Linked DNA regions of Arabidopsis thaliana. The protein of the gene in region 2 interacts with the protein of the main gene of each other region in a pairwise test. Each region holds a gene or a part of one and is shown on either strand. Other genes may lie near its edges. The genes, in order: PIF7 and AT1G64625.

Evidence for each region.
Region 1: the proteins of AT1G64625 (region 2) and PIF7 interact in binary tests that used the Arabidopsis thaliana proteins (3 or more experiments, as listed by UniProt).

Annotation. Positions count from the first base shown.
Region 1 is NC_003076.8:24,637,821-24,642,836, forward strand, and holds PIF7 (phytochrome-interacting factor7), read right to left. Parts: upstream 2,946-5,016; 5' UTR 2,620-2,945; coding exon 2,618-2,619; exon of another isoform or gene 2,474-2,617; coding exon 2,053-2,473; intron 1,976-2,052; coding exon 1,871-1,975; intron 1,805-1,870; coding exon 1,739-1,804; intron 1,645-1,738; coding exon 1,261-1,644; intron 1,176-1,260; coding exon 1,053-1,175; 3' UTR 780-1,052; downstream 1-779. Other genes in the region: AT5G61260 (Plant calmodulin-binding protein-like protein), read left to right, coding at 1-779.
Region 2 is NC_003070.9:24,014,480-24,019,892, reverse strand, and holds AT1G64625 (Serine/threonine-protein kinase WNK (With No Lysine)-like protein), read right to left. Parts: upstream 3,238-5,413; 5' UTR 3,016-3,237; coding exon 2,921-3,015; intron 2,735-2,920; coding exon 2,645-2,734; intron 2,552-2,644; coding exon 2,488-2,551; intron 2,348-2,487; coding exon 2,306-2,347; intron 2,247-2,305; coding exon 2,157-2,246; intron 2,081-2,156; coding exon 1,304-2,080; intron 1,211-1,303; coding exon 1,109-1,210; coding exon of another isoform or gene 1,064-1,108; exon of another isoform or gene 1,036-1,063; coding exon 712-1,035; 3' UTR 622-711; downstream 1-621. UniProt on the Arabidopsis thaliana protein: Transcription factor that may regulate root development.

The DNA.
Region 1 (5,016 bases), on a different chromosome or scaffold from region 2:
AGGTTTGTGCTCCAAAGAATCTGAAGAATGTGGAGAAGGCAAAGACGACTCAGACAATTAGCGGTGAAGATGTAAAAGAAAAGACTGTGTGTGTTGTTGAATCTAGCGTCAAAGGTGTTAAGAGTGAAAAGCAACCATCATCTGAGAAGAAAACCATGAAAAGTGGGAATAAAAGCTTGAGTACTACTCCTAAACGTGGTTCTAGTCCTACAAAACAGATTCCTGGTAAAATCAGTACCGGTTTGACTAAGAAGAAAGAAACTGGCTCTGCAGACGTTGTTGAAGCAAATCCAAAACCGGAGAAGAAGGTTAGGCCTAAGAAGACAGGAGTAAAGGTGAGTCTAGCTCAGCAGATGACTTTCAAGAAAGGAAAGGTTCTTGATCCTAAACCCGAGGATTCTTCTCCGAGATGGATCAAGTTCAAAAAGAGGGTGGTGCAGGAACTGAAAACGCAATCCGAAGGGAAGAAGAAGAATCTTAAAGATAGAAGATTGGGTGTTGAGACGAAAACAGATTCTTGTGAAGGAAGTAAACGTGAGAAAGTTGTTCTGAGGCATCGAAAAGTAGAAGGGAAGAAGAAAATGATAACATTGTTTAACAATGTGATTGAGGAGACAGTGAATAAGCTAACAAAGGTGAGGAAGCACAAAGTGAAAGCTCTTATTGGTGCTTTTGAAACTGTTATCTCTCTTCAGGACACTAATAAGACATCTCACAAACCTCAGAGCAAGGCCACAACATCTGCTTCTAAGGTTAGACCTTTGGTCTCCGAACAATGAAAGAAAGAAAAAAAGACAAAAGTTTATTTGTGCATATGATCTATTAACATTGAAGATTTTAAACTTCAAGAGCGACCAAGAGATAATTTTCTTGTTACTGTCCTCGAAATAGCAAAGGGTTTAGTAATGTACTTTGACAGTTACTGAATTCAGTTGTGAAGCTTTCAAGTTTTATCTGCAAGTCTTTTTCCATACTCAAAACAGTTTTTACAATCATGATACAACAATCTTTCAAGAACTATATATATGGATCAATAATACTAGGTCGCTAGACTAATCTCTTTTCTCATGATTCGAAGAACTTGAAGGCATGCCGATATTTACCTTTGTTGTTTGATCAGACTGTTGTCTATAGATAGCTGCTGCCATTTTATTGTAGAGATCCATATTCATTGTCTGCATCAGCATGGCCAATGGAAGTGAGCTCAAGATTTGTATATCTTTGAACACTTTTCTCGAAAACAGTTAAAAGCGGTCTTACCTGTGCGAAAAAGGCGCTGTATGGATCAGATAATGTGGCTGAAGAACCGTTGGTGCAGTCTCTGTTACCCATAGGAGGGACCATCATTGGTGGAGGAGGAGGAGGAGGAACTAAACCTCCATAACCATTTCCACCACCTCCCATTCCCATTCTTGCCATTGTTGCAAGCAACGACATCTGAAACTGTTGCTGCTGTTGTTGCTGCTGCTGCTGCTGTTGTTGTTGTTGTTGTTGGTGTTGGATGCTGAGAACTGACTGTGGTGGAGGTAGTTGCGGAATCATCATTTGTTGTGGCAAGTTGGCTCTTAGGCTCATGAACTGTACTTGTGCTTGTAGCTGTTTCAAGTGTTCGATAACATCATCCAAGATTGAGACTTTATCCGCCTGCAATATCCGAATAACGCGTTTAAACTGACCGATATCAATATAAACAAAGTTCTTAAACTTAAAAGTGGGTTCTTCTAGGATAGACATTTACCTTACTTGCAGTAGGAAGCAGCTTCTGAAGTGTTCTCATCCTCTGGTTTATCCTATCACGCCGTCTCTGCATCAAAACTCAGAGTCAGTAGTTTGGTAATCACGGAAAGAGAAAAGATGGATTAGTTTTTACCCTTTCGGACTCGTTGTGAATCGCTGCTGCTCGTCCCCGTCGTCCATTAGATCTACCTGCTTCTCCTCTTGTCTCTTGTTCATCTCCTTCAGTATCTTGAGTTTCCTATTAAAGTCCTCTTTTGGTTATTTCTCCAGTCATCTTTCAGGAAAAAAAGGAAGAGTAATTTTGTTAGTTGTTACCGATCCAGAGCGGAAATAGTCTCTGTCTCCGGTTCTAGCTGTCTTCAAGCTCCGACCGGATTCAAAAGACGCCCAAGACATATTGGTACCACTCGCACTTGCAGTGACGCTGTGGCCAACTCTATGGCTCTCCTCTTGAACAGCGAACCATCGGTCCATTTCTTGAGGATAACCGCGTTTTCTTGAACAAGATCCATCCTTGCTCTCATAATTGTGGTTTGGACCATTCGGACTCTGCAGCTGAAACTTGCTTGGCTGCTGTAGAGCCGCTTGATGAACCACAGACTCCAAAGTCTCACAACCGTTGAGACTTTGAGTCCAAATAGGGTTATTCGAGGTGGTTGGTTCTACTTCGTCGCCTAGACCATGAACGGTTAGTTGCCCATTTTCCCATGTGAGCTCTTTAACTCCATAATTCGACCTGAGTCACGAAAAAAAAGAAATTGGTTTTGTGTTAAGACTTAAGAGAGAGAGAGAGATAAACAAAAAAGGACAGAAGCGTAAGGTTTTGTCTCTTTTTGGTGTAAACAGAGAAGAGTTCTTTATCAGAAACAGAGAGAGATACATGTGTTACTTAGGCCGCACGTTTGCAGAGAATAAACTGACAATTAAGCTCTCTTTTTTTTTGTTCTCTCTATTATTGGACCTTCTCTCTTCTCTCTTTCTTCTTGCTTGAAATGTTGAGTTCTTCTTTCTTCTTTGTGTGTTCAAACTCTTGACAATCACAGCGACAACTCATGCGGTGTATCTGCCTTTGATCCATATTGAAAGTTATAATAAAGAGGCCTCTCTCTCTCTCTCTTCTTGTCTCCTCTTTCTCAAAAATGGTCCCTGCAAAACGTCAAATGGTTTTTATGTGGACGAAGCACATGTGTGGCAAAGGATTGTTTGTGTTTTGCCACTCAAGTCCAGAATCATCTCTCCTGCTTAAGGAAAAAAAAAACTAATAAAATGAGGGCATTTTCGTCATTTCTTCACAACCGACTCACATTGACATGAATGTGTTATTGCATGCATTTGACTACTCGGTAGAAAGCATAGCAAAGCAAAGCGTGTGATTCACCGATTTAGAAACAAACACATTTCTAATAATAGAATTTATTATTATTATTTAAAAATGTAAATTTTTATCGTTATACAGTATAATAAACGTAGTTGAAATATATACATATATGTAGACGCATTAAAGAATAGAAAACAAGATATATTTATTGGAGTAAACACGTAAGAATCCGAAACTATAGTATGGTATTCGAATGTCAAAAATGAGAGTGAGATGTGAGGTTGATGCATCAACTAGAGATATTTGATGCAAGTTGCTAGGAATCAATCAATATGTTCTCACTTCTCAGCCTCTTTTAATCACTTCTTTAATTTTTCTCTGTCCATTCCCATCTCACAATATATCAAATGACTTGTTCATATGATCACCATAAAAACATTTTTAAAAAGTAAAAAAAAAAGAAAAGCATTTTTAAGAAGTTCATTTTACAAAAAGTAATGTATGGGAAGAAAGTTTCTAGTCTACCATGGGAGAAAGAAGAACAAGAATAAGAAGAAGTTTTTTAGATTTCTCAAAGAGATATCTCATTGATTTCCATGAATAATTGAAGCAAAGATTGTTCTTACTTGTTTCTTAAAATGACATATTATGTTTTTCAAATTTTGATTTCTTACTGTAGTTAGTGTTTATATTGCTATCTAAGATATTTTTATATGTACTCTTCAAAATGGAGCATCACTTATTAAATTTCTTATAGGACCTCATGTGCACTGGTCCAGAGATTACCTAATACATAGCCGTCTAGGTAGTTTTGTACGTAAATAGGTAAAAATAGACGACTTTTTCAATCATTGGTTCAGTACTTTTGTATCAGATTGGTTACAACTTGCAACCATAAGTTGAGGCTTATAAGCCTTGTTTGTAGTGGAACAACAAGTTGATATGAATGAAATATGTGATGTTGAGTCAGAAGAAAAGAATACGAAAACTATAAAGTACAGAGAAATGGATAAATACGGATCAACCCCTTTGTATTGTGAGATTTTCTTTCCCAATCATTTGATGTCACATCAAAATCTTAAGTGATTTCACCCACTCCGCTCTCGAGTTACGGCCGACAGCTTCAAAACTGATGTCGTCATAATGACACGTGGAAAGATCTTATTGGATGGTTTTTTGGGACCCAGTGTTGATCTGTGAAATTCAGCCAATCAACTTCTCGCATTAGATTCTTGACAGCGAATCCTAACGCTCCTCAGAGTTATCTGTTCAATTTCAAGCTTTTTTTTTTCTTTGATGTTCAAACTCTCTTTTATACGAATTAGATTCTTCACATCAATTGTTTTCTGCTAATCATTTGATTTATGATAACTTATTCTTTGATCACTAGTTGATGGTAATGACTGTATTGACCAAATGATGTTATAGATTTACATAAAACTAAAAAATAAATAAATAAAAAATACATTAAACTACAAATTAAAATTAAATGTCACTGTCAATGTTCTTTTGATATTTGAATGTACTCTTTCAATTAACACTCGTAGTTTTCCGTGAGACTTTACAAATTTGCCTATGCAACTCAACACAAACCCGAAAAACAATTGTTACTTATCAAAATTAAAGAATATTAATATGGTTTCAATTTATCATAACAAGTTTTAGCTAGAATCCTAAAGTCGTCACTTTTGTAATATAAAAGCAGAGGACATGCATGTGTTCATGTATGTGTGCGTACGTGTGAGAGATAAAGAGGTAGATAAAAAGTGAAGAGATTGAAAGCTTGATTGAGCAAAGTTTAATCAGTGGATCTTCCGAAGAATTTTTAGGATTTATTTTAAGGATTCGTACTTGTTAACTATTCATGTGTTCTTTCATTTCAAGTTTCTATTTTTCTTAAGTCTTTCAAGAACACACGAGTTTAACAAAGTGAGAAAGATAGCTTTTATATAAGAAGAAAA
Region 2 (5,413 bases):
ATAATCCGGAAGCAGAAGAAGAAGAAGAAGAAAGGAGGGATGATGATTGGTGGTTACAGAAGGGTGAGGAGATGGAAGGAGATTGGATCGGAGAAGGCCTCACGGGCGAAGCAATAGGAGTCGATCGCCGATCGGAATCGAGATCGGGAACAGAGGAGTGTGGCGGCCATCTCCGAGATGATGACGGTGGTGAGATGGTTCTGCGTTTGTGTCAGCGTCGTGTCTCTTATTATTGTTATTGGATAGAAGAAGAAGAGCATCTCCTCCATTCATCAACCATCCACCATTGCTTTTAGACAACGACCGATGAAGAAGCTTCAATTTCGCCACCAAATTTCACAAATATCAACAAAAATCAATTTCTCTCTCTCTCTCGAAACCCTAAAAACAGATTGAGGATTTGATCTTTGTTCAACTTTTTATTTATATACAGTGTCTCCCCTTTATCCTCGTCAAGGATAACGGGCATCTATTTTCTGATTCAGTCAGTTAACTGTTATCCACCCAAAACGGTGTCGTTACGTTCCTTTTTTCTTTAAATGGGCCTTCTTTCTTTGTCTTAGTCAATGTTTTAAAGCCCATACAATCTTCTTCTTTTTTTTCCACGAGCCCATACAATCTTCTTTGATGTAATGTTACTACTATTTATCAACAGATTCTTGTGTTGTTGTTGTAACAAAAAGAAAGAAAATCAAAGTGGTAGGTATTATACTATGATAATAAATCATCATGTTTGGTGTGGTGTTGAAAGAGCTGAACAAGTGAGTACAAGACTTGAATCCTTGTGACTTGTGGCTTTGCCTGTACGATGAAGTGTGCCCATATTTGTCCTTTTCTTGTTTCCATCACTCCTTTCAATATCTTCAATCCCAATCCTCTCACCACTTGTCCTATCTCCAAGAACTCCTCTCTTTCCTCACACACCATCTCTATCTGCATTTCTCCTTCCCTGTTCAATTCCTCCACCATTATCGGACATACCACTCCTTCTTCCCCCACTTCCAACGCCCATGTTCTCTCTTTCTCCTTCACCAGCTGATAAACATCATTCACTCATCAATACTCAAACACTTGTGTACTTACTGAATGGATATATTTGATTCATTACCTTAGACTCGTATGGTTGTTTGAGTCTCTCTGCATACTTGGCGAGGCTTTGCATGAACACCATGTGTTTTATGGTCAGATCCAGCAACGTATCTATGCTACACTGTTTAAATATATATCGAAACTTATTAGAGAATGCATTTGTTAATCTATAATTTGGATGCCCTAAACTAAACTATATTATTATTCAATTTACCTTAGCTCCATTTGGAATCATCCCTCGCAACTCCTTGATACGGTCTTGTATCATCTGACGGTCCTTAGGCCTCGGCCTCCTGCTTTCTCCTGCCTTTGCTCTTTTCTTCTTCACACCTTCTTCGTGAGGCTTCTTCCAGTTCCCTCCAATACTTGATCTCTCATCATCATCAATCCACAAACTCCGACTTGTTACTGTCTCCTCCTGAGGGAACAAGCTTGAGCTATGCGCCGATGATGTATCAAGCTTCCGTCTTTTGCTCTGGTTCACACCAGAGTACTCTTGCACGTTCGTGAGAGAACTACTACAAGTGTTGTTGCTAAGACTGCTGCTTATGAGCTCTGAGAAGAGTCCTTTAGGTGGCAAAGCCATTGTAGGCGTTTGAGAATTCATCCCCAAAATGTCGAAAAGATCCTTGTCAACTCCTTGGATCACCATGGAAGAGCAGTTCTGTTCTGGTGGATCAGCGAGCAGCTGGTATAGATCGTCCAGAGAGTAAGACTGGAGAATGTCGAACCCATAATCATCTCCATTGGTCAGATCTTGGTTGGAAGAAGCTGCTTCAGAGGAGATCATCTCAGGGCTGAGCAAAGAAGGAGGATTGTCCTCAGCGAAGATGTCATCAAAGCTAAATCCTTGAAAAGATTCAGCTGGGAAAATCTCACAATCTCCCAGTGACTCAAACAGAGTATCGAGATCACCGGAATCATGTGGCTTTAAACACGTCTCCTGGAGAGCTCTTGTTGTTTGTTCCAATATCTCTGTGCTCTCAAGAATCTAAAGATTGATAGTAAGTAATTAGACCATGACTTCCACAACAAGAAAACATTGTTATATAATTATATATGCAAACCTTTTGAGTAGATCCTAGCTGAACAACGCCGCTGGATCCTAGTGGAATGATTGCGATAGTCTGTGTATAAGTAAACTGCCGTATAAGAATCTGATTCAAAATGGATATATGAATCCTTAAACTTGGAGAGAAGACAAAATATAAATTACCTTAAAGCCACAGAGAAACTGATTCTGAAACTCATGTTCCCACTGCAAAACAATCAAACGCACGAATATCAAATCTTTTTTCTTCTTCATCATGAAATGTTCTATGCAGTCACTATATTTCGACATACATTATAGCTCACAGATGAGAAAAATCAAACACCAAGAAAAAGAAGTGAACAAACCTGAAACAATGTGTCTGAGAACAGCCATTGATGGTTTCCGGATGAAGCTACTTCTCCCACAATTCTAATTTCATCAAAAGAAAAGTATATTGAAGATATATAAACACAAACACAGAGACAGATATATAAAAGATTTGAGTGAAGTGTAAAAGCATACCCTTGGCCTAAGATAGGAGCCTGGAGAACCATATCATCAACTAGTGCGACTGATTGTTCATCATTGTATGCTTCTTCAAATCTCAATATCCTGATGGAATTCAACAAAACTAAATTACATTTATGGACACCAAAGTAGGGAAGCCACATATAAAACCAGAGGATATGCAATTCAGTCTTTTGCCTAAATCAACGGAAAACAAAACTAGTTTTATGCAAATATTATCCAAGACAGGAACATGCATATAACATTCGAAAGAAAAAAGAGAGAAATTACATGGAATTGATGGGATCATAACGCCAAAACACAGCATAAGACCATCCATGGCTTAAACAGAGACTCTTCAATATATGCTTATACTCTGAACCCATATTTAGGAATCCAAGCCGGGAAGAGCCCTTTTAATTTCTGCAGGATCTCGAACTCTTAAAAAGGACAACAACTTTTGTCTTCTCCAGAAACCAAACTCCAAAGATAAAGAAAAGCTGGAAACAGAGGAAAAATGTGGGTTTTTGAGTTTTCTCTTTTTTTCTTTAATTTTCTGCAGATAGAAAAAAATACAGAGAAAATTCCTTTGAGTTTTGCTTTTTGTTCAAGCAATTAAAAAGGAGTTAAGAGCTTTGTCTCTCTATATATATAACCAAACAATAACATGAAATGTTTGTAATTCGATAAGAAGTGGAAGAGCCTTTTTGTCTGAGGAATTAAATATATTACTATTATTTATTTGATGTGATTTGTCTGCCGGTGTCCAGTCACGCTTTTGTCCCGGAAGTGACGTGAATTACACCGGCTATTGCCGGTTTAGTGAAAAAGTTTGCTTTGATTACTATATATTTATTTGTTGTCTTTTGAAAAATTTAGGACGGGAGAGGATCTTCGAGGGTATAATTTCCATAAAGGGAGATTTTATTTTGATTTTACTTTTTATCATCGATTCATTAAATACTCGATACGAATTTATGATATACTTTAATAGTATTCAATATATTTAGATATGATTAATTAACTAACATTTGATGAAAATTTCTATAGTGGAAACTGGTGCAATGGAAAAATAAAAATGAGGAGAATGTGATCCCCACAACAGAGGAAGATAAATGGTGCTGTGGAGTTTCTAGCGATCATCTTCTCCCTCGTATCCTATATCTTGAACATCATATTAAAGCTTAACATCGACCGTTTTTGGTTGGAAAATATGGTTTAGAGTTATAAAGAAAGAATGACCGCCTCTTTAGTGTATGGGCCAATGAGGTTCCCAAAATATGTGTCACCTAAATCTTGAATTCTCGGTATGATAATCTTGACTTAAGTAGTTCTCAAATCTCGATCCACTGCCTCATATAATTATATCAACAGTCTAACACCAATGTCGTCAGCAGTCACATACATTCGTAGAGTATGCATTCATATATAAGCCAGATATATACATATCATAAGAGATTTGTTATACCTATATTCATCCAAATGTTTAGTTGTGGTCTCTTGTGGTACCAACCTAAAAAAAATAAGGTTATGCTTCCGCCTTAAGTCTTGAGAGCTACTATCTTTTTTCTTTAATATAACTAAACATCTTATTATTATCAGGAAACCATGCATGTTTAATTTTAAGTTTATATAGAAGATCACAAGCAAGGAAAAATGTGAATGTTAAATAGACTTGAACATTAGTTCATGAATAGTATTAAACGTGTTTTAATTTGTTACTTTATTACTTTATTTTAGCTATTTATTTGTACATGGTGCTATTTTGTACCTATGTTTTGAGTTTTCAATGGATTATTTATATCTTAAAACTTTATACTATATAAACTCTGATATCAACCTTCGAATTTCATGATTTTACTGAATATTACTATGGAAATACGATATAAAATAGAATTTAGAGAACATCAAAGGCATATATAGCAAACGTTAGAAATACATGCCTCAATATTTGAGACCCATTTTTGTTACTCGCAAGTCGCGCAACATCTCACACCACACATTACATGCCTAAGCCTAAGTGCCACAAATACATCACCTTTAAAAAAAAAAAAAAAAAACTTCTCGGCCTAAGCTAATGTACATGCACTTAATACACTTTTAGCTTCTTGATAGTGGTAGAGAATATCAATAGATATCCACAAATCTTGAAATGGAATAAGTGATTATAATTACATATCAAATGAAGAAAAACTCATCAATCAATTTATTTTTTGGGGTTATTAGAAATAGCCATAATTTGGTCTCTTATACTCATCACACGCTCAATCATGGCCGTTGAGAACAAAAGTCAACGGCATCAAGATTTTCACCTTAATCCTTTTTCGTCTTTAGTTGATTTATTGTCCCTTTTCGAAACTTTCCGTTCTTATTACAATTGTGTCCGAAAGTGGTGAAATAAATCCAAAAGTTGGATTTTATGTTGTACACTTGCTTTTTGTTAGATAAGCTATTTTAAAACTTTTCGTTAAAATATGTGACTAGAGAACATATTTTTCTGTCAAAAACAAAACAAAATTCCTTTATCGCTTAAAACTTAAGAGTAACTCTAACTAACTACCATTAGTCCACATATATATGTACTAAGATAGAGATAGTGTTGGATTCATACTTTTCTTTAAATTTAGAGTATTTTATTCATAATATACATAATTTTTGTTAGATTTGATAATATATTTTTACTATGACAGTTGCAAATATGTATTGTTTATGTGACAAATTCTTTATTCAATGAGTTGTGGAAAACAAGGTAAAACTTATTATATAATCCAATCATATTTTTAA